4 linked regions of the Rhinolophus ferrumequinum genome follow. The protein of the gene in region 1 interacts with the protein of each later gene in a pairwise test. Links are inferred from orthologs where the notes say so. Each region holds a gene or a part of one and is shown in the gene's direction. Other genes may lie near its edges. The genes, in order: RGS2, WDR74, LRFN1 and CTSB.

Region 1 (7,266 bases):
CGACTGTCTTTGGAGGTTGAGAATGGTATGGGGTCTCGAGCCAAGCCGTTAGCTGAGCACCTAAGACTTGACTACTTACAATGCGACAATTATGTCAAGGCCTGCTAGTGTCTTCTTGAAAGCATTGTCCTTTCCCCAGTTTTGTTAAGATTTGGGAATTGGTGTTTGTTTAAAATTAAAAAAAAAAAATGTGTCTGGGAGAGAACATCCACAAGGCTTTAGGTTCTTATGAAGTAGTCCGTGGATCAAAGACCTTTGAAAATCAATGTCTAAAATGGATTAGTACTCTCTACATAGGAATGGTAGGTAAACTGGAAATACCAGTGCAAAGAGATTCCTTATTTACTAGAAGAAAAGCAGCCCTTCTTCAAACTTAAAAGAAAAAAAAAAAACGACAGACTCTCAGTGAGTGATATACATGTATAGACCTTTGGAAATCTTGTATATCATGAAGCCAATATCCCAAAATTCCCAAAAAGGGAGTCAACAGGACATTTGGCACCGTAATGATTTGACAAAATTCTGTGCACAGAACCTAAAATCCCAGGCAGAAGAAATTCCTTGCTTCTCTTCTGCGTTTTATACCTGCAATGTGCCTCCAGGTAACTTATTTTATAAGAAAGCATTTCTAATTACCTGCTCACCCCTGAGATTCTGTGTAGTCTACTGTCGCAGGTGAGCAGCCACTGGCATATGCTGGGCACAGTCTCCCCAGCGTAGATTGCACCCTTATGGTCCTGTAACTGCAGAAACCTATTACAGGAGTTTCAATATATGTTAGTATTTGTATTTGGGGAAAAACAAAAAAGTTGTGATGCGCCTGCTGTCGGTTTTCAAACAGAACCCAGATGCTTCAGTAAGGTCAGGACTCTGACCTTGAAGTGGCCCTGCCTGCATTTGAAGGGTGACCTACTCCACACTATGGATGAATTTAAGGCAGAACCACAGATGTGCTCTCCCAGGAATAAACCACACAAACACTGGGAAAATTATTAACTCCTCTATCATACGTGTCAGGTATTAGGTTGAAACTCTGATTCATTCCTGACAAAAGCACTCACCTTTTTTCTCTTATCAGCTTCTGGGGATGCCAATTACATTCTAAGAAAGATAGTAATTATGATTTTTAAATTTCAGATCCTATCACGGATGAAGAGTGGCATACAGAATCGTGTATACATTCATTCTGTTAAAAGTCTATTTCACCAACTAAAATTCAATAAGACGAAGAAGGCAAAGGAGAAAAGAAAAACAGAGAAACAAGACAAGTGTTATACTTCTTCAAACGTGGTCAACAATTAGGGTATTTACAGTCTTCATTTTTTCCAATTACTCATCAGCCCCTTTGCCACGTGGTATTTAATTTCCTGGTTTTTTGTTTGTTTGTTTGCTTTTCCTGTTTGAAAACTAACTACCAATTTAAGATTTAGGAAGTAAGCAATAGGTTTACAGCTCTTACAAATTTAGGAACGAAGATATCACTGACCAAAACAAGCAAAGCACAGAGAAATACACAGAATGATCCTTTTGTGGGGTTTTTATGAAGCATATATCTTGTTTTCTAAATTTCTAAAGCGTAAGTATGAAACAGTTTTAGCTAATAATACTGATTTTTGATTAAGAAGAGCTAGCATGCAGGGGGAGGGGAAGAATCACAGCAGGGGAGACTTTAGCTTTTCATATTCTCCCTTTGGCATGACCAGAAACTTGTCTTACTTTATTTGCCTTCTTCTGCAACTTATTTTTTTATTATTATTTTTTTTAATGCAAAAAGTTCAAGAACTATCCTGAGAACCTCCATCCATCACTAACGTGTTCAGAGAGCCTCTCCAGTAGAGGGCATGACAGATTCAACATAGAGAACATATAGTCAGTTTACCAAGCCGCTCTCAAGCTGTGGTTTTGCTATGTAATATTCACAACCTATTGTATTGTTTCTTTCTTCACCACAGAATGGAAAATATGTGTCATTTTGATATTGAGCAATCCCCTTTACCTAAAAGCCAGTTGCAACAAAAAAAAAAACAAAGGGAAGTCATCAAACACTGTAGTTTTCGCTTTAAATATAGGTCTGCTTGTCTTTAAAAAACACAGTAGCATGGCAATCTTTTCACCAAAATGTTTCTTAGTCTGTAGAGGAGACTGGCTTAACTCTTAAAATTGCCCATAGACAAAGAAATGTTAAATTACATGCAAATTTATCAATCAACCTCATAATTTTCAGGAAAAAAAATTAATTTTCTGCCACATAACACCAGTTGTCAATCAGAAATGGTTTATGAAAAACCAAATCATTATCATTATATTAAACACTTACTGAACCATCTAGAATATATTTAAACTAGTGGCTTCCATGTATACATATACTCATATACGTATATTTACATTTGTGAGTATATTGAGATGACTGAATTTTCTGACTTGGAGATTTCTGAAAAGTTTAAATGTCAAACAGTTCGCTTATTTTCCGTATTGCTTATTATCCAGAGAGCATTTACTAAGTATCTATGAGCTGGAAACTACAATTCTTTGTGACATTATCTTTCTCTTTTAATAGTACTTATACATTTATAAACTAATTAACTCTTTGAGTTAATCCTTTAATGATTTTTCTACCTTGAGTAGCTATGCTTCCAGATACTTCTTTTTTCTTACATAGGCGAATTAATAACAAGCGTTTGTATAGTATTTTAGAACTTGCAAAGGCTTTTCACATAAGGGCCACATGATATATAATGAGGTTGGCAAGAAAGATATGTTACTCTTGGTACAAATAAGAAACTGGGGCTCAAGGGGCTGTGATGGGATTGTCCCAATGGTTACTTAGCATGTACTATCTAAGCTGAGATTCTAATTGGCGCCCGTGACACAGCCCAGCTCTCTCTCCTAACCGCTTCTTTGTCAGAACACCTGGCCTTTCCATTATTAGAGTTATACTGTTCAATGTTCCAAGTGAAAAATACATTGAGGCGTTTATTGTCAAGAAAAAGCAAGTGTATGCACATTACCCATATTTAATAAACATTGAAACATCGAAGTAAAACTAGATGTAGGAAATATTCAGCAGTGTTCTTCTAGAGATGAAGAGCATATGCATGACAAAAATGACAATTTTACATTTCACAAACATGTTTTAAAGTATTTATTACTGAAATCTAAATGATTTTTCTTTTCAAAATAAGGTACATGGCTTTCATCTTCAGTAATAATTGCAGATCTTATCCTCCATTTCAAACTTGGAGCTCCAACTATGGGCAGTTCACTGTAAGAATCTGTTAAACCAGTTCCAATTTTCTTTTTACAGTTCTAAGGCAAAGTAGGGAGAATATTTGCAGCCTCGTCAATACCTTGCGGTTAAGCTTACTGCCTACTTAGATGCTTGAGGGGGGATGCACTTGAAAATCCCCGTGTTCGATTCTAATGAAAATCTGAAATCCAAGCATTTTGTACGTGAGGTTCTCTCTTTGGCCTTACCAGTCCAATCACTCAAAGCCTGCTACAGCAGACATGGCTTCTGAAGAAATAACAAATTAAATGTATTCAAGCACACTGTTAGCCTCTCCTCTTCGTCCTGCTCTCTCGCCAGTTCTTCGGTGTTCTAGCAAATCGTAAGACAGCCACAAATGAGTGACAAGGAACCCCAGCATCTTTGCCCTCTTAAACGAGAATGATTCTGGTGCATTACAGCTGCCGAGGTCATGGTGTCTCCCTGTACCTCATCATCACATGGGTGATTTCTGTTCTGGAAAGAGAGGCAGCCAAGGATTCCTGAGGAGTCAGCATACAGTCGCACGAACTGTCACGTATCTAGTGGTGATCACGAAGGCACCCCTAGCTAGTAGAGCACTGTCGTCTAATCCAGTCACTTTCTCCTGTTCCTTTCCTAATGTGCATTCCAACAGGGTTCCAAGATGCCTTTGGGGGTCAGCCCAAGCAAGCATGGCAGGATTGGAGCGGGCCCACACCCCCGCCCGGCCTCCACGCCTGGCCAAGGTCGCCGGCGACTGCTCAAAGCCAATGGTCTCTGCCAGCCTCACACCGCCCAGGCCGGCCGCCACATTCCGCCCCAATGCGCCACAAGCCGGGGCTGCAGACGTCAGCAGCGCCCTGGCTTCCAGACCTTTCTGCGGGGACCGTGGCCGCTGCAGGGCCGCTGCAGACCCGCCCCCGGGCCCATCCGCAGCCGCCCAATAGGCGCCCTCGGGGGGCGGGCCCGGCGTCGTGTGGCCACGCCCCCATCCTCTTCGTCCTATAAATACCGCAGCGCCTCTCCAGCTGCAACCAGCGGCTGCACCGGAGGCTGGATGATAATGCAAAGTGCCATGTTCCTGGCTGTCCAGCACGACTGCGGATCTATGGACAAGAGCTCCAGCAGCGGACCCAAAAGCGAGGAGAAGCGAGAAAAAATGAAGCGGACGCTGTGAGTACGGCGTTCTTCTCTCCCCAGCCACCCTTGCAGACCTAGCTCTCTGGGTTTGCTGCAAACGCGGGGCTTTGGCACTCGTCTTAAACAATAGGAAGCAATGTAGCCTGCGCCTCTGCAGGGGGAAAAATGTAGAAAAGCTTCATTTGCTAAGTAAGATTAAATCTGTGTGGTCGGTAGTTTCCGCGAGTGAAGGAATGTCGGGTAGAGTTTAGGAGCTGAAGAAAATTCTTGATCTAGAGGCGGCGGTAGATGCGCTGAGAAAATCGCGGTTGGGTTTTTGTCCCCCTGCATTTAAGTTGACAGCAGAGAATCCCGGGCTGAAGGGCGTCCCCATCATTCATACGCTGCATTTTCACTTCTGATCAGTTTCCACAGACAGCTCTACAGGGTTGGAGGGATTTTTTTTTGCTCGTTCGGATATGCCTTTTAAATCCACGTTTTACTTTTAATGTTATGATTTAATTGATCATGCGCTTACATGAATGTTGTAGTCAGGAGGTGGGTGGTTCCATCACACACAGCCCTCCTGGTACACAGCTTCTGGCTGGTCCAGAACCTCAGCTCCAAGGGCTGAAGGGAAGTGAGCACGGACTGGCTCCAGGCAGCTCCACTGTCCGTTTCACCAAGTGTGAAATGCCTTCGGATTGTAATGAACGTTGCAGAAAAACTGCTGCCTTTTGCGGGCTAGAAATAGCATCTGCCTTTTGAACTATATGCAAACTAAATTCATTACACTATGCTAGTCATTTCAGGTAATCCTTCCCTTAGTTATAAAACCTAGTAGTTATGTGCAGATGAATGGGTGAAACTAATTGTGTTCAATACATAAGTGTAGCGATTAAATGTTAAATGTGTCAGAGTGACTTGAAGAGTTCTTGTTTTGTCTTATTTGGTTTTGTCTGTATTTACTGGGCGACTTTGGTAAAAATGCCATCAGCTGCTGTAGCAATGTCAAATGTTGCCACTTAGTGAATCTTTTTTTCCCCCCCTTTTCTTTTTAGATTAAAAGATTGGAAGACCCGTTTGAGCTATTTCTTGCAACATTCCTCCTCTCCTGGAAAGCCCAAAAACGGCAAGAAAAGCAAACAGCAAACCTTCATCAAGTAAGTTGAAAATCTTGTTCTTGCAAATTTGACGAGCTAGCTGTTGAGCGGAAAAGGGAACTCTGAAGATCTCCAAGAGTAAGCTGATGTGCACCCTTTCTCTTGCAGGCCTTCTCCTGAGGAAGCCCAGCTGTGGTCAGAGGCTTTCGATGAGCTGCTGGCCAGTAAATGTAAGTTACCTTCTTGAATTTAATCCCTTTCAAGCATCACTGGAGTCTGGAAAGGTTCTGTGCACACTGCACAAGAGCAGCTTGCCAGATGCCATTTGACTTGACAGTCATCGTGACACTCGCCTTTATGCCCCAGTGTCTACCCATGGAAGTGCATGCTTTGTTCAGGGGGGAAAAGAAAACTTAACCTAAAAAAAATTAGAGTGGTGGTTGCTCTTGGTTAACATTGAGTCAACTTTTCCATTGCATACAAGGTTTTCAAGAGGCTTAGCTCCCAGAGAATTTAGGGCTCCCCTATGAATATTTCCACTGATGGCAAAGTTAAGTATTTATATCTTTGTAGCAGTGTGCCAGCTGAAGCATTTTGTCTACTGGCATCTTAGTCTTTAAAGAGCTCAATTCTGAGGATTACAGGTTTGAGTGATATCGAGGAATTTACTATCATCTCTAAATAAGAAAACACAGAGGCAAGGGAGTGGGAGTTATAGGAAAACATGTAAGGGATTATTTGGTCATTCCATTCACAATCTGAATGTTTTCTTCTCCCTCTCTCCCCCTTCAGATGGTCTTGCTGCATTCAGGGCTTTTTTAAAATCTGAATTCTGTGAAGAAAATATTGAATTCTGGCTGGCTTGTGAAGACTTCAAAAAAACGAAATCACCCCAAAAGCTGTCCTCGAAGGCCAGGAAAATATATACTGACTTCATAGAAAAAGAAGCTCCAAAAGAGGTAAGAAAAATAAGTTCTTATTTTCAGCATGTTTTGAACATTGTTAGCTCCAAAGCGAAACAAAAGACTTGAAGTCAAACTAAAAGGGCTTGGGAGTGGGGGGAGTGTTTTTTTCTCTTACCTTAGCTTTCAGTTAAGTTGATTAAGTTTCTTCAATGACTTGGCTGGTGAAGCTAATCATGCATTATAGTTTTTAGTTTTTGTTGGCAAATATTAAATACACAGTCTTAAATCTCTGACTCTGAATATAGAATAAACCACTTTTTGTGTTTTATTTCAGATAAACATAGACTTTCAAACCAAAACTCTAATTGCTCAAAATATACAAGAGGCTACAAGTGGCTGCTTTACGACCGCCCAGAAAAGGGTATACAGCCTGATGGAGAACAACTCTTATCCCCGTTTCTTGGAGTCGGAATTCTACCAGGACTTGTGTAAAAAGCCACAGATTCCCACGGAGCCACACGCTACATGAGATGCACACAGGACCCCCAACGTGGAGGACATTTCATTTTTTCCTAAGGGAGAAAGGCTGACCTGCCCAAAAGACTGCCCTTGAGTTCAGCCTGGGTGCTGGGGAAACATCACTCAGAACTGTTGATTCGAAGTTGGGTAGTGAGCAGGGAAGCCCGTCGCCGTCCAGAAGCAGCATGTGTCGGGATGGCCTCCATGACTGCAGGCACACAGAGAGAACGTGGTCTGAGCATGGTGTGTCTCCCACCGTAAAAGCAGGGATGTGAGACTGAAACAGACGGTGTAATACTCTCGATCCAAAAGCATTTTTACCATCAGTAGGTCTGGGATTATGTGGCCTTAGCAGCTGGATGTACATCTTTCC
Region 2 (7,313 bases), on another chromosome or scaffold:
TAAGAATCCCACCAGAAATTGTATGCAAACCTGTGTGAGACAAATATGTGTTTATTTGGGGAAAGTTTTCAACAGATTCTCAAAAGGGTTGGGGGATGCAACAAAAATTACAAACCTCTTCAAGTTGACTAGCCATTTCTTCGACGTGCTTTATCTTGTGTTGGTTTTTAAGTTTATAGCATCGTCCTCAAGAACACAAAAAAATAGGAAGTCAAAAATTGTTCAATCGATTTATAAATATGGAAGAAAGTACCATTAAAAATAAAAAGTGTTTAAAGAGTTAACAGAAGAGTGTAAAATGGGGATAGTTGCTATAAACCTTTGAATACTACTTGTTGATTGATATGAATTTCATTAAAATAAAACATTAAATTACAAAAATTAAATGTACCCATGGAAAGAACATTCTTGCCTTGGCCTCGCTTTGCCTGTCACCAAAGCCAGTGTTTCTCTGAACTCTTCCACTTATCTCCATCTCTGCTACCACAGCCCCCTTTGTCTCCCACCTGGAGGATCACAGGAGCCTTCTCCCAGTTTTCCCCAGTAGACTATAAAGGTCATGAAGTCAAGGTCCATGTCTCATTTTTTTTTTGTGGCCATAGATAACTGCTCAATAAGCATAAACAAATGCATTTCCAAGTTCTCGTGGAGCCCTCATATCAGCCTCCCGCACCCACGCAGGAAGAGGCAGAGGTAACAGTAGAACAAGAGTGAAGGAGCCAATCCCCACTTGCCTTTGCTTCAAAGCAGGAACAGTCAACTGCTGACTGCACAGACCTACCAAGAGATGGGGTGCTTGGCTGTAGCCTGGGCAGGACTGAAGCCAAGCCAGGGGGCTGTGGCTTGCACTAGGTTGGGTCTTGCAGAATTTGGAGAAGGTTGGGATTGAAAGAAACTGAATTTTGCTTTTGCGCTTGTATTAGTTTTGTATTGCTGTTATAACAAATTACCACAAACTCAGTGGCTTAAACAAAACAAATTGATCTTATGCTTCTGGAGGTCAGAAGTCCAAAACGAGTCTCAACGGGCTAAAATCAAGCTGTGGCAGCAGGGCTGCCTTCCTTTCTGGAGGCTCTACGGGAGAATCATTTACTTGCCTTTTCCAGCTTCCAGAGGTCATCTTATGTGACCCCCTTCCATCTTCAAAGCCAGCAAAGGGTCATCAAATTCTTCTCATGCTTCATCATTCTGACACCAAGTCTGCTGCCTCCTTCTGTCCCGTATAAGGACCTTTGCAATGACACCAGAGGGGCCCACCAAATCCAGGATAATCTCTTCTTCTCAAAATCCTTAATTTAATCATATCTGCAAAGTACCTTTTGTCATGTAAGATAACATATTTAGAGGCTCTGAGAATTAGGACATAGGTGTCTTTGTGGGGGGCATTATTCTGGTAACCACATCCCCCAATTCAGCTCTTCCCTGGAGGCTCTGGTTTGCTTATGGGAAACTGTGGAAACTGCTTCTGTTTATTAACATCAGGGACACAGTGCTGAGAACCTTGACCTTGTTCTATTATGTCACAGATTATCAGTAAACCTTGCTAGTTGAAAGCATATCGGTGAGAATGAAGCGACCTAACTCTTGCCTTAAGGATCTAACTTTGACGCAGAGACACGGCCTTCAGCCAGCTATAGAGCTTCAATTAAGGAGGTTTCCAACAGAATATTCCACATTTATGTTAATATAGTTTCCAAGGAAACAGGACCTCAAGTCCCTTACAGCCAGGGCCTGATATCCCTTTCATACAGCCAGGCTTTGCTTTGAGTCGATAAATGAACTGCTCATTTAAATTTTCCCTACACTGGGCTTCACCATCTCTTTCCCACCGCGGGACGCCGAGTTTAGGAATCAGGAACCTCCGAAGAAACGTCTTTCTCAGGGTATCTTTTCCCCTCTGTGAAGGGTCCACGGTGGGTGATGGATGGTACAAACGGCAAGGTAGAAGCGAGTTGGGGGTGAATGTGACAAGTCTGGGAGGAGGCACAAAAGGGAGCCAGAAGCCTCAGGATGCGAGGGGAATGGAATCCTAAAGGCCAACCTTCACTGAGTGTCCTGCTCTAACAACCGCCCCATTTAACAGGGGGCAGGAGCCTACGCAACATGCCTCAATTCATCAAATCAGAAACTGGCTAGCAGGAATCCCAATGTAGAAATTTGGATTCCAAAACCTGTGCCCCGGAACCGCGGACTCTCCAAATGCCGTGTTTCCCGGAAAATAAGACCTAGCTGGTCGATCTGCTCTAATGCATCTTTTGAAGCAAAATTTAATATAAGACCGGGTATTGTATTGCATTATATTATATATTAATTTTTGCTCCAAAAGACACATTAGAACTGATTGTTCGGCTAGGTCTTATATTTGGGGTAACACGGTGTGTTCCGGCGCCGGCGCCGCCACCCGCCCCACCCTCAACTGACTAACGGAGCGGTCGCCCCCATGGCGTGCCTAAAAGCCTTCAGAGACATGCCACAGTCTGGGAGAAAGAAATCAAGCGGGCATTGAAACGTGGGCATTGACTTGTATGTGGACCAATCCCAAGAATGTATAAAAGCAGAGGGGCGGGTTCATGCAAAACACGTCGAACAGTGAGCTGACAGACGAAGCGGTAAAGGACCTTATTTAAGGTCTGTTTCAAAAAAGTTACTATAATTATGAATAAAAATAATAATAAATTAAGTTTAAGAAAGGTTGTGTGTTGGAAAAAAACTAATAGTTATGCCGTTAAAGTCACCACAATTGTAAAAGCTACAGAAAGGATAAGGTAGGCTGGGAGGTGAAAAACAAAGGCATCGCTTCTCGGCCTTTTGGCTAAGATCAAGTGTAGTATCTGTTCTTATCAGTTTAATATCTGATACGTCCTCTATCCGAGGACAATATATTAAATGGATTTTTGGAATTAGGAGATGGAATAGGAGCTTGCTCCGTCCACTCCACGCATCGACCTGGTATTGCAGTACTTCCAGGAACGGTGCACCCCTTTTAAGGGGAACTTATCTCGGTTTGAAAATAAGATAATGCTCGGTTTTACGAATAGTTGCTATTGCAGTTCAATTTAAATGAGGTTTTAGAAACTTCAGTTAGTTTAACCACGGGTTTTTTTTTGTTGTTTTTATATTGTAAAGTGGGTGTGTGTGTGCGCGCGCGCGGGGCGGGGTTTGGAGGAAAGCACTAAATTGGTGTTTCCCAGCCGATACAATATTTTGCCTTTTAGCTCTTCTGATGCATTCTTAAAAACAGGAAAATTGACTACGATAATTTTTTTTTTTTTTTTAGATCTGTATTGGAATAGCAGCTTCGTTTCCTCCTTATTTATTAGAAACGCTTTACTGGTTTTTAGATTTTTTTATCCTGTGTACGGGAGAGGTCTTTCTTAAGGGTTCAGTTTGGCTTCATATTAAGTGGCAGACTGTTAGTTTAACCTCATCAGCGTTAAACCCCAGCTGTGTCCCCGACTTGTATTACAATGAGGAAAGACCGGCACAACAGAGGAATGGTTGGATGTCTTAAAAAAAAGTTACAGGATTTTAAGGAAAGATGGAGTTCAGGTTTAATTTAGTTTAAATTGTGTTCTGATAGGTTCAATAAAAAGGGCTGTGTGCAAAGAGATCAACATCAGGCCTGCACTCCGAAGGGTGCTCTTTCTTTGGTAATACAAAAATAAGTGTGGAATGTTATGCTCAGAACTCTATTGCCAGGCTTGCAGCTGCTCTGAAAACATAGCTGCTTCTCCGTGGAGGACTTAGGTCTGCCAGGCAAGAGTGGGATACTTTATTCTTACTGATATAATTTCAAACAGCAAAGTTTCTGATAGTCTCTGATTTCATAAGAACAAAATTTCTCAGAAAACAGTCAAAGAAGGAAGCCGTTGACATTTTAATTATGACATTTTAAAGTTGCAGCTTTTGTTTCTGTTACCTGCAGATTTTTACTTTCAGTTTGTGTTCATTTTTACCATCACCAAACCTCAATGTGAAGAAATAAAAACGACACCCCTACTTCCACCTTTCCAAAACAGATACCTGTTTTAAAGATTCTCGGTTTTATTTTCTCCGTCTTTCTTCGTTTTGTGCCTTTTATACTCTAGGTTGAAGCCATGCGCCACAACAGTGATTTGAATCGATTCTGAAGTGGTCTCTTGTCTTGTACAGAAAACAAAACATGATGCTTTGCAGCAGGGAGACGTACTAAGGCTGGCTTGACCCGGCATCTCGGTCTACCCAGGATGCGTTCCACTCCAAGTGTAAAATGGTCCAGTTAAGTCTTCAGATCCCCACAATTATCTCCAGAAATCGTTATCGTAAAGAAAAACAAACTGGAGCAGGCGAGTGATCGCTACTCTCCTCGCTCTTTAAACTCCCAGAATCAGCGTTGGTCCGGATCCACCTTTGCGCGCGCGGGTGACGCAGACGCTGCGCCGGAAGTGCGGCTGTCGGCTGCCAGACTTCGGTATGGCGGCTGCGGGGGCTCGCTGGAACCATGTGTGGATCGGCACGGAGACTGGGATCCTGAAAGGTGGGTGGCAGGAGCGGGCGCCGGGAAGTGGGTAGGTCTCCAGCTGGCGACCCCGGTGCGACTGACTCCCGCGTCCCGTAGGGGTGAACCTTCAACGCAAACAGGCGGCGAATTTCACGGCGGCGGGACAACCGCGACGCGAGGAGGCGGTCAGCACCCTGTGCTGGGGCGCTGGAGGTGAGACACAGGTGAGCGGCCGCTTGCTGGGACGGAGCTGGGGTACGGTAGCCTCGCTGTCCTTACCATTCTGCACTCCTCTACCTGCAGATCCTGGTGGGCTGTGCCGACTGGACAGTGAGGCACTTCAGCACCGAGGAGGGCAGATTTCAGGGCCAGAGGCACTGCCCCGGAGGGGAGGGCACGTTCCGAGGCCTTGCCCAGGTCGACGGGTAAGACCGAGTCCCTCGCTGAGCCCCTCAACAGAGAGCGATGAGGCTTCCGCAGGACCGCCGAATAATGATCAGCCCTTAGATGACACAGGTCTGGGCTGGGTGACGGACCTGTGTCCTGCCTTCTTTCGTTCATTCCTATAACAAGCATTTATTGGACACCTACTGAGTTTCAGGCATTGGGCGAAATGCAAGGGCTGCAGGTACACCAGACACACACAGTACCTACTTTCATCCTCCAGGGATTTTCTCGTTTCCATAATTTTTTGAGTGACCCTGAGCAAGTCATTTAATAGTTAAGAGGATGTTTTTAAACGGGGCTAACAACCACCAACAAGGTGATGAAGGTCCCAAAGTAAAGGATAGGAAAGTGGTGTCTTGGGTTAGGTTACCGGCCCAGCTTTCTTCCAAAGATGGAGAGAGGAGGTTGTGAACAGGCTGTGTGTGTTTGGTAGTAATAATTCTGACAGGCGAGGTCTAGGAGGCTCTGTGTGGGTGAGATGTTTGAAGTGAACCTTGAAGGATTGGTAGAATTTGGGCAGGTGGAGAAAGGGGTAAGGGCATTCTGGGAAGAGGCTACTGCCTTGGCAGAGGCCAAGGATTGATGTCTCACTACAGGGTACCTTTCAGGGGCGATCAGTAGTATTTGGGGGTTGAAGCTGAGGAAGCGTTTTAATACAAGATAGGCAGGGTAGGTTGGGTTTCATTGTAAAGGGCTTTAAATGCCAGGCTGAGAGATTTGTACATTTGTAGGTGGTGGGGGTTACTGGTTTTTGAGAGGACAGTGCTGTGGTCAGAGCTGTGAGCCTGTAAGAGTGTGGAGGATAAATTGGAGAGGAAGCAGTTCAGAGACTGTTGCCATAATCCAGGGAAGTGATACAGACCCTGAACCAAGGTGGGAGGGTGAGCAAATGTGAGAAGGACCATAGGTTCGGGCTGTACAGCTCCTGGGGAGAGACTTGCTTGGGCTTTGTGGGAGGGGTACTTTGAGGGAGAGATCGACATTTAGCGTCTGGAACCCAGAACATGGAACTCAAAAGAAGCTGGTGTCTGACTTTGGCCAAACCCTAAATCCAAACCAGTCCCATTTCAGTCCTTTCAGAGTTATTGATTCTGACTCCCTGGTGTCTGACTCAAGAGTCAGAAAGACCTGTGGGGCCGGGTGACCCCAGATGGAGCTGTGGAATACAAAGGCATTCTCTGCTTTGGAGTATCACAGACTTGATTTCCAGCTCTGGTTCTGACATTCACAGCTCAGTGGGCAAATCTTTTAATTGCTCAGAGCTTGTTTCCTCACTTATAAAACTGGTAAAGCCTCCCTCTGTTGAGGAAATTAAACAACGGGAAGCTGGAAGCTGCCAAGCCCTGTCCAGACCAGAGTTGCCTAGAGGCTTCCTTAGGAACAGGCCTGTAGGAATTTAGTTTAGTTAATTTGGGGGTGGGTTGAAGGGAGCCTAGAGGATACTTTCACTTTTTTTTTTTTTAACTAAGTCTATCTTCCCTCTGCAGCACCCTCATCACATGTGTGGATTCTGGGATTCTTCGAGTCTGGGGTGACAATGACAAGGAGACATCCTCCGGCCCAGTGAGGCTCCCCTGCCCTGATCCCTGTGGTTGGGGAAGGAGGGGGCCAGGGTGGGAGCTGAATGAAAGCTTTGGGGGAAGAGGATTAAGGACTCTGGAACTGACTCTCATCCCTCATCTCATCTCCCATTCTTTTCAGCTCCTGGAACTGAGGGTGGGCCCTGGGGTGTGTAGGATGCGCCAAGACCCAGTGCACCCCCACGTAGTTGCCACGGGTGGGAAAGAGAATGCTTTGAAGGTGTGGGACCTGCAGGGGTCTGAGGAGCCTGTGTTCAGAGCCAAGAATGTGAGTGATGGGTGGGGAGGGGCTGGGTCTGAGGTCCAGGGAACTGAGGCCATTATGAGTCAGAGACCATGGCTTTAGGGGTGATGGAGGGCCGAAGGAAGGGACACATTGAGCACCCCACAACCCTGCCCCCCATCTACCCACCCCACCAGGTACGGAATGACTGGCTTGACCTGCGAGTTCCCATCTGGGACCAGGACATACAGTTCCTCCCTGAGTCACAGAAGCTTGTCACCTGTACAGGGTACCATCAGGTGAGAGACCACCCCATCCCTACCTCCTGGCTTAACCTCCCAACCTGGAGGATCGCTTCCCTCATCCCTGTCCATTTATGCTCCTAACGGCTCTCCCCCAACCCCCTAACACTCAGAAGAGGGATATATTTCAAATGAGAAAGTTTCTCTAAGAGTGGGTTATAAACAGCAAAGCAGTATATGAAGGGGGTGTTGAAGACGTGGGGAAGCCATAGGGGGGTATGTGGAGTGAGGGTACCCTGTGATACCGCAGTCTTCCTCCAGGTCCGTGTCTATGATCCAGC
Region 3 (7,864 bases), on another chromosome or scaffold:
GGAAACAATGGCACTGTGACCTTGGGCCTGGGCTGCCTCTCCCCCAGCCCTGGCATTCCTGGGGGAGGGTCCACAGCCCAGCTCTAACCCTCCCCCAGCCCTCCCAGCTGAAACACAGCATCCTCTCACCACCCCACTCTGCCCATCCCCAATCAGGACAAGCCCTTGCATGAGGGATTCAGGATAGAATCATTCTACATCGGGAATAGAGAAATTCCCCCGGGGCGGGGGCGGGGGGGGGGTTGAGTTGAGCTCCTCTCTGCTGACACCTGTCCTAGTGTCCCCACCATCTCTCTGCCAGGCATATCTCCAACCCCGCGCCCCTCACCCACCCGTCGTAGCCTGAGCCCTGATGGCTAGAGATGGAAGAGGAGGATGGGCTGGGGATAGGAGAGGTCATTCAATTAACAGGTCAAGCAATTCCTCACCTGCAAGGGTCAGAGAGGTAAAAGGACTTGTCCAAGGTCATGCACTCACATGATCAAATTAATAATAATAGCTAACTCTCTGATTGAGGGCTTCCTACGTGCCAGGTACTTCTATAAGCACTTTACAGGTATTAACTCATTTAATACCCCATGAAGAAGATGCCATTATAATCCCCAATTTACAGATGAAGAAACTGAGGCCCAGAAGCTAAAAATGGTTCCCTGAAGTCCCACAGCTAGGGTCTGTACAGTTACAACTTTAACCCAAGGCTATCCTGTGGCCAATGGCCACTCCCTCTCTTAGGCATGGGATTTAGGGAACCATCTCCTCCTCTTCCTCTCCCTCCTCTCCCTCCTCCATTTCTCCTCCTGCCCAATTGTTGAACTTCTGTCTGCATCCAGGCTTATGGTTGCAAACAATCCAATTAGAAAGAGGCATGTACAAGGATTTACCCAACCAGGAGAAGGGAGTTTGGAAAGCAGGGACCAATCAGAGAGAGTGACTCTGAGGGGCAGCCCAATACACAGTAGGTTTGGCTAGAGGGATTATGGAGGGACCAATCAGCGAAGCCAGAACAGAATACATTATCCAATGAAGAGTCAGCACAATGGGGTGTGGCTTTGGATTTGAGGCCACTCCTTAGAGGGGTGGTACAAACTAGGGACCACCTCCTCTCTTTCCCCCAACCTCCTCTCTGGGCTGGAACAGATCCAAGCTCCCTAATTTTTTTTTTTTTTTTTTCCTATGGAGGGCGAAGCTCACAGTGGCCCATGCGGGGATCTAACCTGCAAGCTTGGTGTTATCAGCATTAGGCTCTAACTAACTGAGCTAACCGGCCACCCCAAAGACCCCTAATTTTTGAATCCCAGCCCTTCGCTTTCCCTGGGGCACTTCTCCCTGCTAACCTAGAATGTAAGCAGGGCTTAAATTGGAGAGGTGGAGACTGGATTTTAGGGGGAGCTGAGAATGAAGGACTCAGAGTAGGCATGACGGGCCAGCCATTCCGTAGGCTGAAAACTATATGCTTATGGAGTGGAGCCTAAGATAGAGGAGTGGGGCTGGGGCTGAGGAGTGGGGCTGAGACTTGCCCCTGGGGGCAGAGGCTGAGGGAGTCTGAACAACTATTATATACTCTAGGGTGGTGTCTAAGGGGAGGTGCTCAGGCTTGGGGGTGGGTCCTACACTTGGGCTTTGCTTAAGTCAGATAAAGCTGGGGTTTTGCTTTAGGGCAGAGCTTTAGAGACAGAGGGTGGGACCTAAGTTGTGGAAGAATGAGGGTGGTTTGGGGTAGGAATTAGGCCCCTAGGAAAACAATCACATTATAGACTTACGGCTGTTGTCCTCTTTTTCAGGCCAACTCACATTTCCCTAGCTGCTGGGGTGTGCCCTTTCCCTTTTAGGGACCCTAGACTGGGAGATGGTGTTTATTCCTGGGTATGGCCTCTGCAGGGAGTCTGCAGCAGACCTAGCTCTAGGTCCTCTCCCAAGAAGCATTCAAGAACACATGTTTACGGGTGCTAATTGGCCTTCTGGACACTGGAGAAGATTGATGCCTCTGCCACTGCCCTCAGGAGGCTTACATTTCAATGACTAGACAATAAGCAATAAACAAATAAGTAAACAAATAAGCAAACAAGATCATTATTAAGAATGACAAATGCTATGAAGGAAATAAAATGAGGTGATATGCTAGAAGTGATGGGACCTGTTTGGGCCATTTTTTTGTTGCCTCTTTAGTCTAGAAGAGTCCTCCAGCTTTTTTTTTTTTTTTACTCCCAACATTTATTATGAAAAATTTCAAACATGCAGCAAAGTTGAAATAATTTTCCAGTGAACACCCATCTACCCACCATCTACATACAATCATTCACATTTTACTGCACTTGCTTTATCACATATCCATCCAACTATCCATCCATCAACTTATTTTTTTTATGTATTTGCAAGTAATTTGCAGACATCAGGACCATTGGTGGGGGTGGGGGTGTCAATTGGAGAATGGGAAAGGAAGGCTTCTCTGAAGAGGTTACATTTGAATTAAGACTTGTATGAAAAGAAGGAATCAGCCATGGAAGCGGAAAAACTGCCAAGGCCCAGGGGCTGGGATGAGCTGGAACAGAAAAGTCATCGAGGCCAGAAGACAAGAGTGACCAGGGATTAGGCCAAGAGCTCGCAGGGCCAGATATGCTCTGTGAGTGAGGCCGCCTCTGCCTGGGTGCAGGCTCTTTGTTTCTCCATCTCTGTATATCTCTGCCTCTCTTATTATTATCTTTCTCTTATTATCTTTCTCCTCATCCTCTCCTTTTCCACTCTGGTCCTTCCCAGGCCTGACCTCACCCTCTTTCCCCTTCACCTCCACTTTCCCCTCTATTCTATTCTGCCACTTACGATCTGTGATCTTAAACAAGTAACTAAAGCTTTCTGTGGCTCAATTTGCCTCATCTGTAAAATGGGGATAGTGATGACACCTCCTCATCTGGCTGCTGTGAAGAGTGAATGGAGTTATCTACGTGAAGCTGTAGAACCTTTTCTGACACAAACAATGCTGGACATGTGTCCACTTTTGCTGTTATTGTTCTCCCACTTCTGTTTTCCTAGCTCTGGACCTCCATGCTCTGGCAGGGAACACCAGGAACCAGGGTGGGAGGTGGTGGTAACAGTGGTGGTAATGGTGGAATCTGGAGACTGGGGGTGGGGGGATTGTGAGTGTCCCCGGAGGGTATCTAATGGTTGTGAGTGGGGTCAAGTTTCACTTAGAGGGAGGCTGTGCAGAGATACCCTTGATCTGAGGGACAGGGCAGTCTTCGTGTGATGACAGCAAGGGAGAATTTAGGGAAGGGGTTTGGGGGAGGACCTTGATACAGTGGGATCCAAAATTGAAAGGGCTTAGGCATCCAGGGATCTGGGGGACTGCCATAAGACAGATTTTGAAGTGAGGCTTTACTGGGTTTGGGGGCCCAGTGAATATCTCAGAAAGAGGTGAAGAGTGGCCTGGGATACTCAGTGGGATTTTTTTTTTTATTTTGTTTTTTGTTTTATTTAGTTTTATTTTTGTTTTAAATATAGATTGTTGTACATGAAAAAATACTCAGTGGGATTTGAGAGAGGGGTAGGGGGTCATTGGGTAGGAGTTGGGCAAAGGCATCTGAACAAGGAAGGAACAAGGAATCCTGGACACCACCCAATTCACAGGGAAGGGGGGAGGGTCTACAGGGTCCAAGAGAGAATAGGAACAGGGAGGAAGCAGGAGCCTCACAACGGTAGGACTAGTGGGGAGGATGGGAAAGAATCTGGGGCAAATCTGGGAGTTTGGAAACCAAGAGGTTCCTTTGAGGGGAGGATGTCTGGGTTTAATGGGGGTAATGGGAAAGTTTAGGGTCTCCCCATGGGGACAAGAGACATATTTGGGACTCTTAGAATTTAGACATGGTCACAGGTCCCCAATGGGAGTCAGGGAATTGTTTGAGGTCTTAGAGGGTGGAAGAAAGAAGTGGGAAATGGTCTGTGGTCCTGGGTGGCTGTAGAACATGGTCTGGGTCCCCAAAAGAAGTAAGGCATAATCTGGGTCTCCCCGGGTGTTGACATATGGTCTGGATCATCTCTGGGATGTTGGGGTATGGTCTGGGGTCCGTGACGGATTGGGTGTGGTCTGGGGCCCACCCGCATGTTGGTGTATGATTTAGTGTCCCTGATAGGGGTTCTCTGGATTCCCTTGGATGTTGAGATATATAGTATGGGGTCCCTCTGGATTTGAGGGCATGTCTGGTGTTCCTGATAGGGTGTGGGGCAGAGTCTGAGGTCACCAAGGAGAGTAAGACGTGGTTTGTGGTCCTGGGTGGCTGTAGAACATGTTCTGGGTCCTCAAAGGAGGTAAGGCATGGTCTGAGGTCCCTCTGGGTATTGGGACATGATCCGCGGTCTCTATTGGAAGATCCCGGGTCCCTATGCTAGTCGGGGCGTGGTCTGGGGGTCTCTTGGGAAGACTGCGAGGCTGGAGGTGGGGCTGGGGAGAGGTCGGGGGCGGGCCCGCGGCTCCGCAGTGGAAGGGGGTCTGCGACGGCCCCGGGGCGGGGGTCTGGGGTGTGCAGCCGCCGCGCAGCCCGCCCGCCCCCTCCGGTTGGAGCCCCCTCCCCCTTGCGGCGGTGGTGGCGGCGGGCTCCGGCGGCAGGCGGCGCGGAGGGCGGAGCTCGGCAGCGGCTCCGGAGGGAGGGCGGGAGGCGGGAGGGAGGCGGCCCCGCGGCACCGCGCCCCCTCCCCTGGCCCTCCCCCACCATGGCGCGGAGCGAGGCGGCGGCGGCGGGGCCGGGCCCGGGGCCCCCCCGGGGCTGGGTGAGCGCGGCCCGCAGCGGCCCGGGAGGAGGCGGGCGGGGGTGCCGGTGTGAGCGCGGGTGTGAGCGCGCGAGCGTGTGAGTGTGTGTCCGCGGCGCTGCGGCGGGCCCGGCGTGCGCTCGCGCGGCCCTGTGTGTGCCCGGCGCCGGCGTGTGCGGCGCCTGCTTGTGTGGCCATCCGGGTGTGTGCCGAGGTGCTGGGTCCAGCCGTGCCTGTGTCCCCCAGAGTGGCTGCCCCTCCGAGTGGCTGCCCCTTCGACTGTGTGTCTGGGGGGCTGTCGCGTGCCCATCGGAGGGGCTGTGTGCAGGTGTGTGTGCGTGGGTTGTGTGCCCAGGTGTGGGTCCCCCCCAGCCAGTGTGTGAGCGCGGCTAGCTGCGTGGGGGGTTTGTGTCCCGGCTGGATGTCCATCTGAGGGTCTGTGTAGCCGGGTGTGCCTGCTTGGGTGTCCATTTGTGTGTGTGTGCGCGCGCGCGCGTGTGTGTCTGCGGGTTGTATGCTCCGAGGGTGTGTGTCTGTGTGACCACGTCAGGTTCCCGGCCGGGGGCTGAGGCTCAGCGCCTTGTGTGTCCAGGCCTCTGTGTGGGTTTGGCGGAGGGGAGTTTGCTGTTCCCTCGGTCCATGTTAACTGGATGGGGGGCCCCTCAGCGGTCCTCGGGGGAGACGGCCATGTCTTCCCCTTCCCGGTGGCTGGGTGGGGGGGATGGGCAGCCGGTAGGTGGACAGATGGAGGGATGAGAGGCCTAGGGTTGGACAGATGGGCCCGAGGGGAGGCACGCAGACCCGGCCTTTCCCCACCCACCCCACTCCAATGTCCCCACCGGCCAGATCTCTGCAATGGGGCCAGAGTTGCCTGCATCTAGATGGTCAGGCTGGGGGACCTTTGGGCTGCTGGTGGGAGGATCGCCTTGGAGTAGTGCTGTAGGACTCAGCCCCCCAACCCTCTGAGATTCGACCTGCTGAACTCTGACCTCTCGCCCTGGCTTGTGCTCTGGTGAGGGGGCCTATGGTAAAAGGAGGGATGTTAGGATTTCTTTGGCCAGCTATGTAGGTGGGGCCAGGGTGCCTCCGGGCTGGGAGGGTATGTCCATGCCTGCGTGTGAGTGTGAATCTGTGCCTATCTGTTGACTATGTCTGTGGTTCAATATTTTGTGTGCATTTGTAAGTGTGCAAATCCCTTACAGGGCTGTTGTGTGAGCATGTGTCTGTTATGAGTGAACATCTCAGAGTGTCTGTGCAAAGGTGGATTTTTTTGTACCTGTGTGTTTGAGTGTATCAGTCTTGTAAAGAAAGTATCTGTATACGCTTGTGGTTCTGTGTATGTGTGTGAAGTGTGTATCAGCTAGTGTGTGCATTTGTGCATCTGTTGGTGTCGGAATGTATCAGCTTTGTGATTGTGCATCATGAGGATATGTGAAGTTGTCTGAGTGTGTTTGGGCATTTAAGAGTATGCACCTGTGTATCTTTGATTGTGAGAGTGTGTTATATGTGTGTGTCCCTGTGTGTTGGTGTGTGCAAGGGTATCTCTGTTATAGGTGCATATACCTGGTTGTCTGCAAGGGGGCACATGTGTTTGTTGTGTGTGTGCATCTATGTGTGTGAATGTGCAAGGAAGTCAGTGTTGTACATGTATGGATGTATGCTGGTGTGTCAACCTTGAGGGTATGTGTCTGTCTATGTTGTGAGTCCATTTATGCATCAGTGTTGATCTCTTGGGAGTGGTGTTATATGTGTTCAAAAACATATATGCAGGGTTGTATGCACAGACGTGCCTGTGTCCCCAGAACAAGGCTGACCTTGCTTCTGGGCCCAGTGAGATTGGGGCCCATTTGGCGTGACCTATAGTATGCCGAGACCAGTCTGGGGTCCATGGACACAAGTGTGTCCACATCCCAGGCGTAGAGTCAGTGGAGGGTGGGGGGTACAGAGCTCATGCTGGTGTGTCCATGGAAATCCAGATGTAGAGACTTGGGTTGGAAGTCCACGTGTGTTTTGGCGTGTCCACACATGTTGGTGTGATAGTGGTGTGATGGCAAGCTTGGGAACCTCTGGTCCTTCCCCAGCCCTCAGATCTTTGAAGTTGGGGCACTGGAATGTGAACTCTGGAAGGAGGAGGCTGGGAGCCTAGAATCCTGGATATGAAGGAGAAGGAAGCTGGGGTGGGGTCCAATTCTTGGGTCTTGAGAAAGGAGGGGACTGAGACCTGGACTCTTGAGTCTGAGGGAGGGGGGAGGAGGGTCCCAGACTCTAGGGTCTTGAGGGAGGAGGGGGCTGGAGTGACTAGTCTCTTGAGACACTAGAGGACGAAGGGCTAACGTCCTGGACTTGTGGCTTTTGGAGGGTGAACAGTCCTGAGGCCCAGACTCCTCAGTTTCCAGAGATGACTTCTTGGGTCCATCTGAGATTATGCAGAGCCTCCAGCAGGAGGGCTTAAAAGAGGGAACACACCAGGGACTGCCTTGGCTGAGATGGTCTCCGAGGTAGGTCTCCAGAGAGGAGCCAGAGGATGCTAACAAAACTGTCGTTTTGTTACTTTGCAGGTACTGGCCCAGGCCCTGACTCCCTGAAGAGAGGTGAGTGGGAAACCTCCAGCTGGGGATAGAGACATGGAGTGGTCGGGCTGGTTCTGAGCCCACTGGAAGCCGGGAGCCCTGCCTTGTATGGATTTCAGTGTAGGGTATGGCAGTGTCCTGAGGGGCCAGGTGTCCTACAGGCTGGGGGTGGTGACAAAGTCATGAGCAGCATGTTTGGGTAAGGGCTCATAGCAGAGCCAGGACATGGGGAGGCAGGTGGCAGTGTCAGGCCTGGAGGCATCCTCTCTCAGGATGGGCAGGTAGTTGGGAAAGGGGAGTTTCCTCGGGATATCAGTAAAGGGTCCAAGTGAATTTTATAACATGAAATGATTCTTGCATTTGGAGAGTGGCATGGATGTGGTTTACCATTTTGTGTGTGTATGTGCATGTATGTGGGAAGTCCAGCCTGCTGAGTCCAGCCTCTGGCTGAGAGAGAGCCAGAGAAAAACATAATGACGATGATAATAACGAAAATAATAATAATAATCGCAGCTGACATTTATGTAGTGTTTACTCTGTCAGGAACTATTCTAATC
Region 4 (7,561 bases), on another chromosome or scaffold:
CCTTTAACTTCCAGTACCCAGAAGAGCCCCTGTCCCGTAACAGATGATCCATTATGGGAACTGACTGGCCTTTGCTCCTTCATTGTTTTCTGCTCGCTACGCTTTTAAGACACGTATGGTCAGGAATGGTCCCAGTCAGCTTTTTCCCTGGGGTTTCCAAATAGCCTGCCTCTTCTGGGAAAGTCCAAAGCAGCCCTCTCTTCGAGGACAGTGTTATGGGATGAATGGCGTCTCCCTCCAAAATTCATGTTTCAAAGCCCTAACCCCTAGTACCTCAGAATGTGACTGTATTTGGAGTTAGGGCCTTTAAGTAGGTGATTATGTTAGATGAGGCTGTTAGGGTGGGCCCTAATGCAACTGGACGGGTGTCTTTGTAAGAAAAGAGACACCAGGATTAAAACACAAAAAGAGACACCAGGATTAAAACACAAAAAGAGACACCAGGAAGGAGCAGCTGGATGGCTCAGTTGGTTAGAGCGTGAGCTGTCAACAGCAAGGTTGCGGGTTCAATTCCCGGAAGGGGGGAGTGGGCTGCACCCCCTGCAACTAAAGATTGAAAATGGCGCCTGGACTTGGAGCTGAGCTGCTCCCTTTACAACTAGATTGAAGGACAATGACTTGGAGCTGATGGGCCCTGGAGAAACACACTGTTCCCCAATATTCCCCAATAAAATAAAATTAAAAGACAAAAAAGAGACACCAGGGATGTGTGCGCACAGAAAAAAAGAAGAAAGAAGGATATTTGAGCTGATCTTTGAAGAAAACGTTTTATGGAGTGGTTTTTAATTTACATTTTGCTTTTGTTTTGTGTGCTTCTAAGATCAGAGTTTTTACTCCAACATGATATTATGAAAATTTTCAAATATCACAAAGCTTGGGCAGCCCAATGACTCAATTGGTTAGAGTGCGAGCTCCAAACAACAGGGTTGCCTGTTCGATCTCCATATGGGCCAGAGAGCTGAGCCCTCCACAACTAGATTGAAGACAACAAGCTGCCCCTGAGCTTCCGGAGGGGCAGCCAGATGGCTCAGTTGGTTAGAGTGCGAGCTCTTAACACAAGGTTGCTGGTTCAATTCCTGCATGGGATGGTGGGCTGCAGCCCTTGCAACTAAGATTAAAAATGGCGACTGGACTTGGAGCTGAGCTGCACCTTCCACAGCTGGATTGAAGGACAACGACTTGGAGCTGATGGGCCCTGGAGAAACACACACTATTCCCCAATAAAAAAAATTTTTTAAAAATAAGTAAATAAATAAAATGTATATCAAAAAGCTGAAAGAATTTTCCAGTGAATATTAAAATGAATACTGGTATGCCCCCCACCTAGATTGTACCATTAATATTTTACTGTATTTGCTTTATTGCACATCTATTGCATCTATATGTCCCTCCCTCGCTTCCTCCATCCATCCATCCATCCATCAACTTAATGCATTTCAAAGTAAATTGCAGATATCTGTAACTTCCCTCTCAATATCCATATCATTAACCAGAATCCAGTACACTTGACCCTTGAACAACACAAGGGTTAGGGGTGCTGTCTCTTCACACAGTTGAAAATCCAAGCATAATTTTGACTACTCGTAACACATAGGTTGTATATTATTTGTATTACATACTGTTTTCTTAGAACAAACGAGAGAAAAGAAAATGTTGTTAAGAAAATCATAAGGAAGAGAAATTACATCAACAGTATTTATTTTAAAAAATCCACCTGTAAGTGATCCACAGAGTTCAAACCTGCATTGTTCATGAGTCAACTGTATTTGCCTACAGTGGTTTCTTTTGATGTTATATATATATATATATATATATATATATATACACACACAATGATGAAATCCACAAATCTGAAGTGTGCATTTGCAAAGCGTTGACAAAGATAAACACCTTGTAACTCAAACTCTTAGCAAATATAGAGCGTAATCCTCACTCCAGAAGGAACTCAAGCCTCTTTTCAGTCAATTCCACCCTCACATCCCCAGAGGCAACTATTACTGTGTTTCCCCGAAAATAAGATCAGGTCTTGTACCGTATTTCCCCGAAAATAAAACCGGGCCTTATAGTAATTTTTGCTCCGAAAGATGCATTAGGGCATATTTTCAGGGGATGTCTTATTTTTTCATGTACAACAATCTACATTTATTCAGATATAGTCATGTCATCTTCTTGAACATCATCGTAACGTACTAAATGTGTCCATCTGGCTGACAATCTTAACTGGGGATTATCTTCAAGGTAGGTCTTATTTTCGGGCAAACATGGTATTATAATTTTTGTTCCACTATACATCAGTTGTGCTTGTTCTAGAACTTCATTTAAATGGAATCGTATAGCATACATTCTGTTGCGTACAGTTTCTTTCACTCAGCATAATGTTTTTGAGACTCAACTTGTGGTGGTGTGTAGTGGTAATCTCATCCCTTTTTGTGTTTGGTAAGTATTTTTGAATATACCATGACTTGTTGATCCACCCTCCTGCAAATGGACACATGGTCTGTTTCCAGTTTGGGGCTATTATGAATAAAGCCACTGTGAACATTCTTGTACAAGTCTTTTTCTGGTCATCTATTTTCATTTCTGTTGAGTAAATACAAAAAAGTAGAATTTCAGGGTCATAGGGTAAGGGCACATTTAGTATTTAAAAAAAAAAAAAACTGCCAGAGTATTTCTTAAAACAAAGTAGCTGTACCCTTTCACTTTCCCACCTACGGTACCCGCCCGTTCTCAGGAATTTTTTTCGCTTTCCCATTCCGGAATCCCAAGATACAAACTGTTTTCTGTTCTCCACGATGAATCGTTTCCACAAAGTGATGGCCGATACTACCAACCACCTGGGTTCAAGGAGCCGATTTTCCCAATTTCCCCGACCAACTTTTCTCAGGATTTGGGAACGGAAAAGTGAAAAAATTTCTCAAGAACAGGCGGGAATTCCCGCCCGGGAACCCAACCACTAATAATATACAAGAATCACCATTGCTCCACATTCTTGCCAACATTTGGTGTGGTCAGTGTTTTTAATAAGTCCAAACCTTTCTATATTTCTGGCTCTGGGCGTGAGAAAACAGGAGGGCCTTTGTCATCACTAAGCGTGTACCTGTGGGTACTATGGTTGGTGCACACTGTACAGAAGCTAATGTACATTTATTCCTCATAACAACCTGTTTAGAGCCTGGGAGAAGTGAAGTAACTGTGGAACTAGGATTCAAACCCACGTTCTTCTGGCTCCATTTTCTTTTCACCTTGGCCTGAACTAGTGCAATAAGAGTGTGTTGAGAAGGGAGATTCCTGTGCAAGGGAGTGTCATCAAACTTTTGCCACTGGTCAGAGACCTCCAGGAAGCTCAGAAGATTTGGGTTCATGGTAGAATCTGGTGTTTCTGGCCCTATAGGTTTGGATGAATAGGGGACCGGGAATGGGGGGCCGGGGGGAGAAAAGAAATTGTCCAAACACTTGCTTCCTTCTACTTGCTAGAAGTTCAGGAGATCAATCTCCCAGACTTATAAAAGGGAGATTCTCCCTTGAAGGGAGAATGAGCAGCCCAAGGAGACATCCAAAAGGTTTTATCTGCTGCCCTAAGCTTCCTAGGGATGCTGGTTACAACTCAAATTCAATTACCATTCTGCTTGGCTTAAATAATATCCCCCAAATGGGCCGTCTGACTGAGTGGGAGCCGAGTCTGTCCCCCAGGGAGCATCAAGATTTAAAGGGCTGTGTCATTGCTGGGGTTTGGGATACACATGAAGAAGAAATGGAATGACTAAATAGAGCCCTATTTAATCCTCACAGCTGTATGAGGTCAATATAATTCATCTTCATTAGCTAGATGAAGAATCTGAAGAAGAGAGGGTTTACGTCACCTATCCAAAGTCACACAGTTCTATGTAGCAGATTCCAATCTCTGTCCACTTCCTAATGGAAAAGATTGATGCAGGGGCTGTAGGATCACAGGGTTAGAGTTGGATACTGAGAGATCTTCACTCTTAAGGTCCTTCTCTATAGAAATCCTGATGCAGCTCCAGCAATTAGTACTTAGTGGTATTAATTACCGTTTTCATTATTACATAGTTGGAGTATCTATCTCATAGGCACGTTCTCAGAATATTAATGCTAAAAGAGCCTTTGAACGCTCTTCTGGGAGTCCTGCTCTCTTGATACCCCCAACTCTGGCGATGTTTCCTGAATGAATGAAATACGGGTCAGTTATCCCCTCCCCCAAGCAGGGATCCATCCGGCTTTGCTCTGCATTCAGGCTGAGGCGTCCCCAGGGGAGTTTTTCTAGGCTGGGTGGAGACCCTTAGGGCCACCTTCAGCTCCCTACCGCTCCCCACAGGCCTCAATCCGGAGGGTTAGAGGCCGGTGGGGCTCAGAGCCCCTTTTCCGGGGCCAGCGCACCCACCCCCAACGGGATCTCCAGGAGCTGACAAAGGCGGGAGGCGCGCAGGGGTGACGGCGCTGGAGTGGAGTGGGGGTGCTGCCAGCAGGAGGAGCAGGGGGTGGGGGTAGGGGTGCCGGGCTCGCCGGGGAGTCGGAGGTGGGGCCGCGTGTTCGCAGCGATCACGTGATGAGTCAGCCGGGCTCGGGGCGTGGCCGAGCGCGGTAAATAGGAGTGGGGGCGACCCCGGGAAGCGACGGCGGCGGCTCTGGCTCCGGCACTGGCACCGAAGGCATCCCCCAGCAGCAGGCCCAGACTCTCGGCGGCCGAACTCGGTGAGTGCAGGCGGGTGGCGGGCCGGGCGACCGCGCAGCACCACCGCGGCGGAAGTGACCTTGGTTGGGGTGATGAGACTGGGGCCCTGTGCGCCCCCCCGCCAGGCCCAGATGCTGTCCAGCGGCGTCCCCGGGCGCCGGCGGGATAAGGCGACCCTCCGGTTGTTACAGCCGGGCCAGCAGGGGTGGCAGCCGCGCACTCCGAAAAGTCGCCGTGGTGAAAAAAGCGAAAACAACCCTCAAGCGGGCAGCCGGGCTCCCAACCCCCACTCCGGCCGGGAAGCTTGCGCCTGCAAGTCCTCACTCGAGGGCTGTGTTCATGCCCAGGGCAGGGTCAGCTTGACCCCACGATACGCCTGTCCCCAGGGCCTGCCTGGTAGGTCGCCCAGGAGGAACGGGGGAGTTTTCGGGGAAGGTCCGAGGGAGGAGCCTGCAAGGAATGGCTTGGTCCTGATCCCAGTGACTTTTGGCCAGTATCTGGCTCCTCGGCCCCTTCTCGGCTTCTGGGCCTCAGTTTCCGCAAAAAAAAAACACAAAAAAAACTGCTGAGATAATAGTATCTACATGCATCTATTTTAGGTGTTTTCTTATTCTAAAGGGTTTGCCTGGGCAGCTTTGTGCACACAATTACGCACAATTCTAGGGACCCCAGAAGACAGAAACCAGAAAACAGGAACCTTGAACTGGGTGGAATAGGGTGGAACCCACATGAAGAGTTAAATCCAAAGATGAGAGGAGAAACTAAGCAGAGAGGGGCAGAAACTAAGCAGAGAGGGGCGTGTGAGGCCGTATAGGGCCCAATCCTCCTCGCTGGGGTGGGGGAGAAGAAGAAGAATGCCCTCCCTACTCCTTGACTGCTGTGGAGAAGAGACAGTGCGGAGGCCCAGGGAGGTGTGGGACAGGGGAAAGCAGGTGGGAGTATCTGGGCATCACCTCTTCCCTCCTGTGGGAGGAGCATTTAGGGAGCACTATAGAGTAACTGAGTTTGAGAGGCTCAGCTGGCAGGCAGTCCAGGTAAATCTGAGGTGGATTTGCCTTCTTAGTGGGCCTAGGTCAACCCCTTCTCTGCTGACAGACAAAGGGAGAAAAGCCCAGGCTCCATAAGTCTCTACCTGAGCAGGTAGAAACCCTCACCCAGTGGGAGGGGAGGTGGTAGGTTCAAAGGGAGGCCTAGCACCTTTTGTTACCTTGGGAAACCTGATCCCCAAGTGCCTCCACCCCAGGTGAATACCGCTGAGATGCATTCATCTAAATGAATCTATCAGCGCAGATTGAGAAGGTGAAAGGTTTAGAAGGGTGTCTGACTTGGCCAAGCCTCCTTCCCTTTCTTAACATAATGTCCTTTCCTTCATGGAGAATTGTTTCCTCTTGGCACTAGACCCAGGGACCTTGAGCTTCAGAAAGGGACTGGGCTATCCCCACCCTGTGTGTCTTTCCCAAAGAGACAGGTTGAAGGTGTTCTGAAGAAAGGTTCTGCTGAAACCTTTTTAGGGCATTTGTCCCAGAGCTGGGGCACTGCCCAGTGGAAAGGTGCAGATGCCTCATCCAGGGGCTTCACAGACCCAGTGAGCGGAACACAGGCCAGACACAGCCAGGCTCCAGTAACTCCCTTGAGGTTGGGTCAGAACAACCCTGTTTTCTAACTGGTCAGACGGTGAGAGTGGAAGCGTTTTTGGCTCCAGGAAAAACCTGCCCATGTGCCACTGGTTCAGCAACTTGCACCAAGATCCTTCCTCTAGACTGGTTCTTCCCCCCATTGCTATACTAGAGTGATGGAGTAGGAAGTTGCCCACATGTAAGGGATGAGAGAGATTTTGTGTTACTATTGGCAGCTGGACTGAGAAGTGAAGGGAGAGCACAGAGGAGCCTTGAAATGTTTGTCGGGTGATTTTCTTAAATGAGTGGTGGTTGTGTAGACTATCCCTGCCCTTGGGAGAGAAGGACTGAAATATTTCGGGGTGAGGACTCATAAGGTCTGCCGCTTATTTTTGATAATTTGGTATAAACAAAGTATCAAAAATATGGGAGGTTGAGCTATATGAAATGGGAGTTTGTGAACGTCATGAAAGATGGAAATCACTCGTTTTCATAGGGTCCAACCTCAGGTGCAGAGGAATGGTAGGGATTGACAATAAGCTGCTGGATGAGTTGAGGCACATACAGGTGTGGATTGTACTCACCGGATACTGGGAGGCAGCAGTCTACGCCTGGTCCCATATCTTCATCTCTCTCTTGTCTCATCCTCTATACAAACTCCATGAGCTGCCTAAGAAAGGGAGGGAAATCCTGAGTCCTTCCATGTCTGTTACTCAGACTCCACCCTAGTTTGGATAGGGCAGGGGATGTAGGGATCAAACACCATTACATATTTAGACTTAACCATTCCAGTTTGTAACCTCAGGCCTCATCCGCATTACCTCTCCACAGCACCAGGGGCCTCCATGTCTCAGGCTTGCGTAGGGTTCGCAGGGTGAGTGCATTCCCTCTTGGTCACAGCTCCCCTTTGCAGGGAGCAGGTTTTTCTTTGCTCTGCAAGTCCATTACCACTACTGTGCCTGCTTGGAGTCTTCCTGATGGACGTTGTAGTTCCTTTCTGCTCTTCTCTGTATAATTCTCCTGCACTCTTTTTTGTAGTTTTAATACTTTGTATCAATCCGTGAGCAGTGTTACTAAAATTGGTAACCTTTAATTATGTTGCGTGTATCCTTTTCCGGGGGTGTTTATGAGTTATTTATGTTGATACATACAGATCTAGTTAATTCATCTTAAATACAGTGTATTTGTCTACTGAGGGACAGTTAGGTTGGTTTTGCTTTTTCACTGTTGCTCACAGCACTGCAGTAAGTATCTT

The links.
Region 2: the proteins of RGS2 (region 1) and WDR74 interact in a two-hybrid assay, tested with the Homo sapiens proteins (2 studies listed by BioGRID and IntAct). The link is inferred for Rhinolophus ferrumequinum from reciprocal best matches to the Homo sapiens genes RGS2 and WDR74.
Region 3: the proteins of RGS2 (region 1) and LRFN1 interact in a two-hybrid assay, tested with the Homo sapiens proteins (2 studies listed by BioGRID and IntAct). The link is inferred for Rhinolophus ferrumequinum from reciprocal best matches to the Homo sapiens genes RGS2 and LRFN1.
Region 4: the proteins of RGS2 (region 1) and CTSB interact in a two-hybrid assay, tested with the Homo sapiens proteins (2 studies listed by BioGRID and IntAct). The link is inferred for Rhinolophus ferrumequinum from reciprocal best matches to the Homo sapiens genes RGS2 and CTSB.

What each region holds. Positions count from the first base shown.
Region 1 is NC_046310.1:5,165,068-5,172,333, reverse strand, and holds the start of RGS2 (regulator of G-protein signaling 2), read left to right. Parts: upstream 1-4,260; 5' UTR 4,261-4,304; coding exon 4,305-4,420; intron 4,421-5,427; coding exon 5,428-5,529; intron 5,530-5,637; coding exon 5,638-5,699; intron 5,700-6,261; coding exon 6,262-6,428; intron 6,429-6,708; coding exon 6,709-6,903; 3' UTR 6,904-7,266. UniProt on the Homo sapiens protein: Regulates G protein-coupled receptor signaling cascades. Inhibits signal transduction by increasing the GTPase activity of G protein alpha subunits, thereby driving them into their inactive GDP-bound form.
Region 2 is NC_046294.1:8,014,858-8,022,170, forward strand, and holds the start of WDR74 (WD repeat-containing protein 74), read left to right. Parts: upstream 1-4,298; 5' UTR 4,299-4,364; coding exon of another isoform or gene 4,365-4,452; coding exon 4,453-4,516; intron 4,517-4,597; coding exon 4,598-4,704; intron 4,705-4,783; coding exon 4,784-4,905; intron 4,906-6,414; coding exon 6,415-6,490; intron 6,491-6,628; coding exon 6,629-6,775; intron 6,776-6,927; coding exon 6,928-7,029; intron 7,030-7,293; coding exon 7,294-7,313. UniProt on the Homo sapiens protein: Regulatory protein of the MTREX-exosome complex involved in the synthesis of the 60S ribosomal subunit. Participates in an early cleavage of the pre-rRNA processing pathway in cooperation with NVL.
Region 3 is NC_046298.1:38,500,422-38,508,285, reverse strand, and holds the start of LRFN1 (leucine-rich repeat and fibronectin type III domain-containing protein 1), read left to right. Parts: upstream 1-4,862; 5' UTR 4,863-5,065; intron 5,066-5,604; exon of another isoform or gene 5,605-5,749; intron 5,750-7,295; 5' UTR 7,296-7,328; intron 7,329-7,864. UniProt on the Homo sapiens protein: Promotes neurite outgrowth in hippocampal neurons. Involved in the regulation and maintenance of excitatory synapses. Induces the clustering of excitatory postsynaptic proteins, including DLG4, DLGAP1, GRIA1 and GRIN1.
Region 4 is NC_046301.1:31,907,033-31,914,593, reverse strand, and holds the start of CTSB (cathepsin B), read left to right. Parts: upstream 1-4,559; 5' UTR 4,560-4,710; intron 4,711-7,561. UniProt on the Homo sapiens protein: Thiol protease which is believed to participate in intracellular degradation and turnover of proteins. Cleaves matrix extracellular phosphoglycoprotein MEPE. Involved in the solubilization of cross-linked TG/thyroglobulin in the thyroid follicle lumen.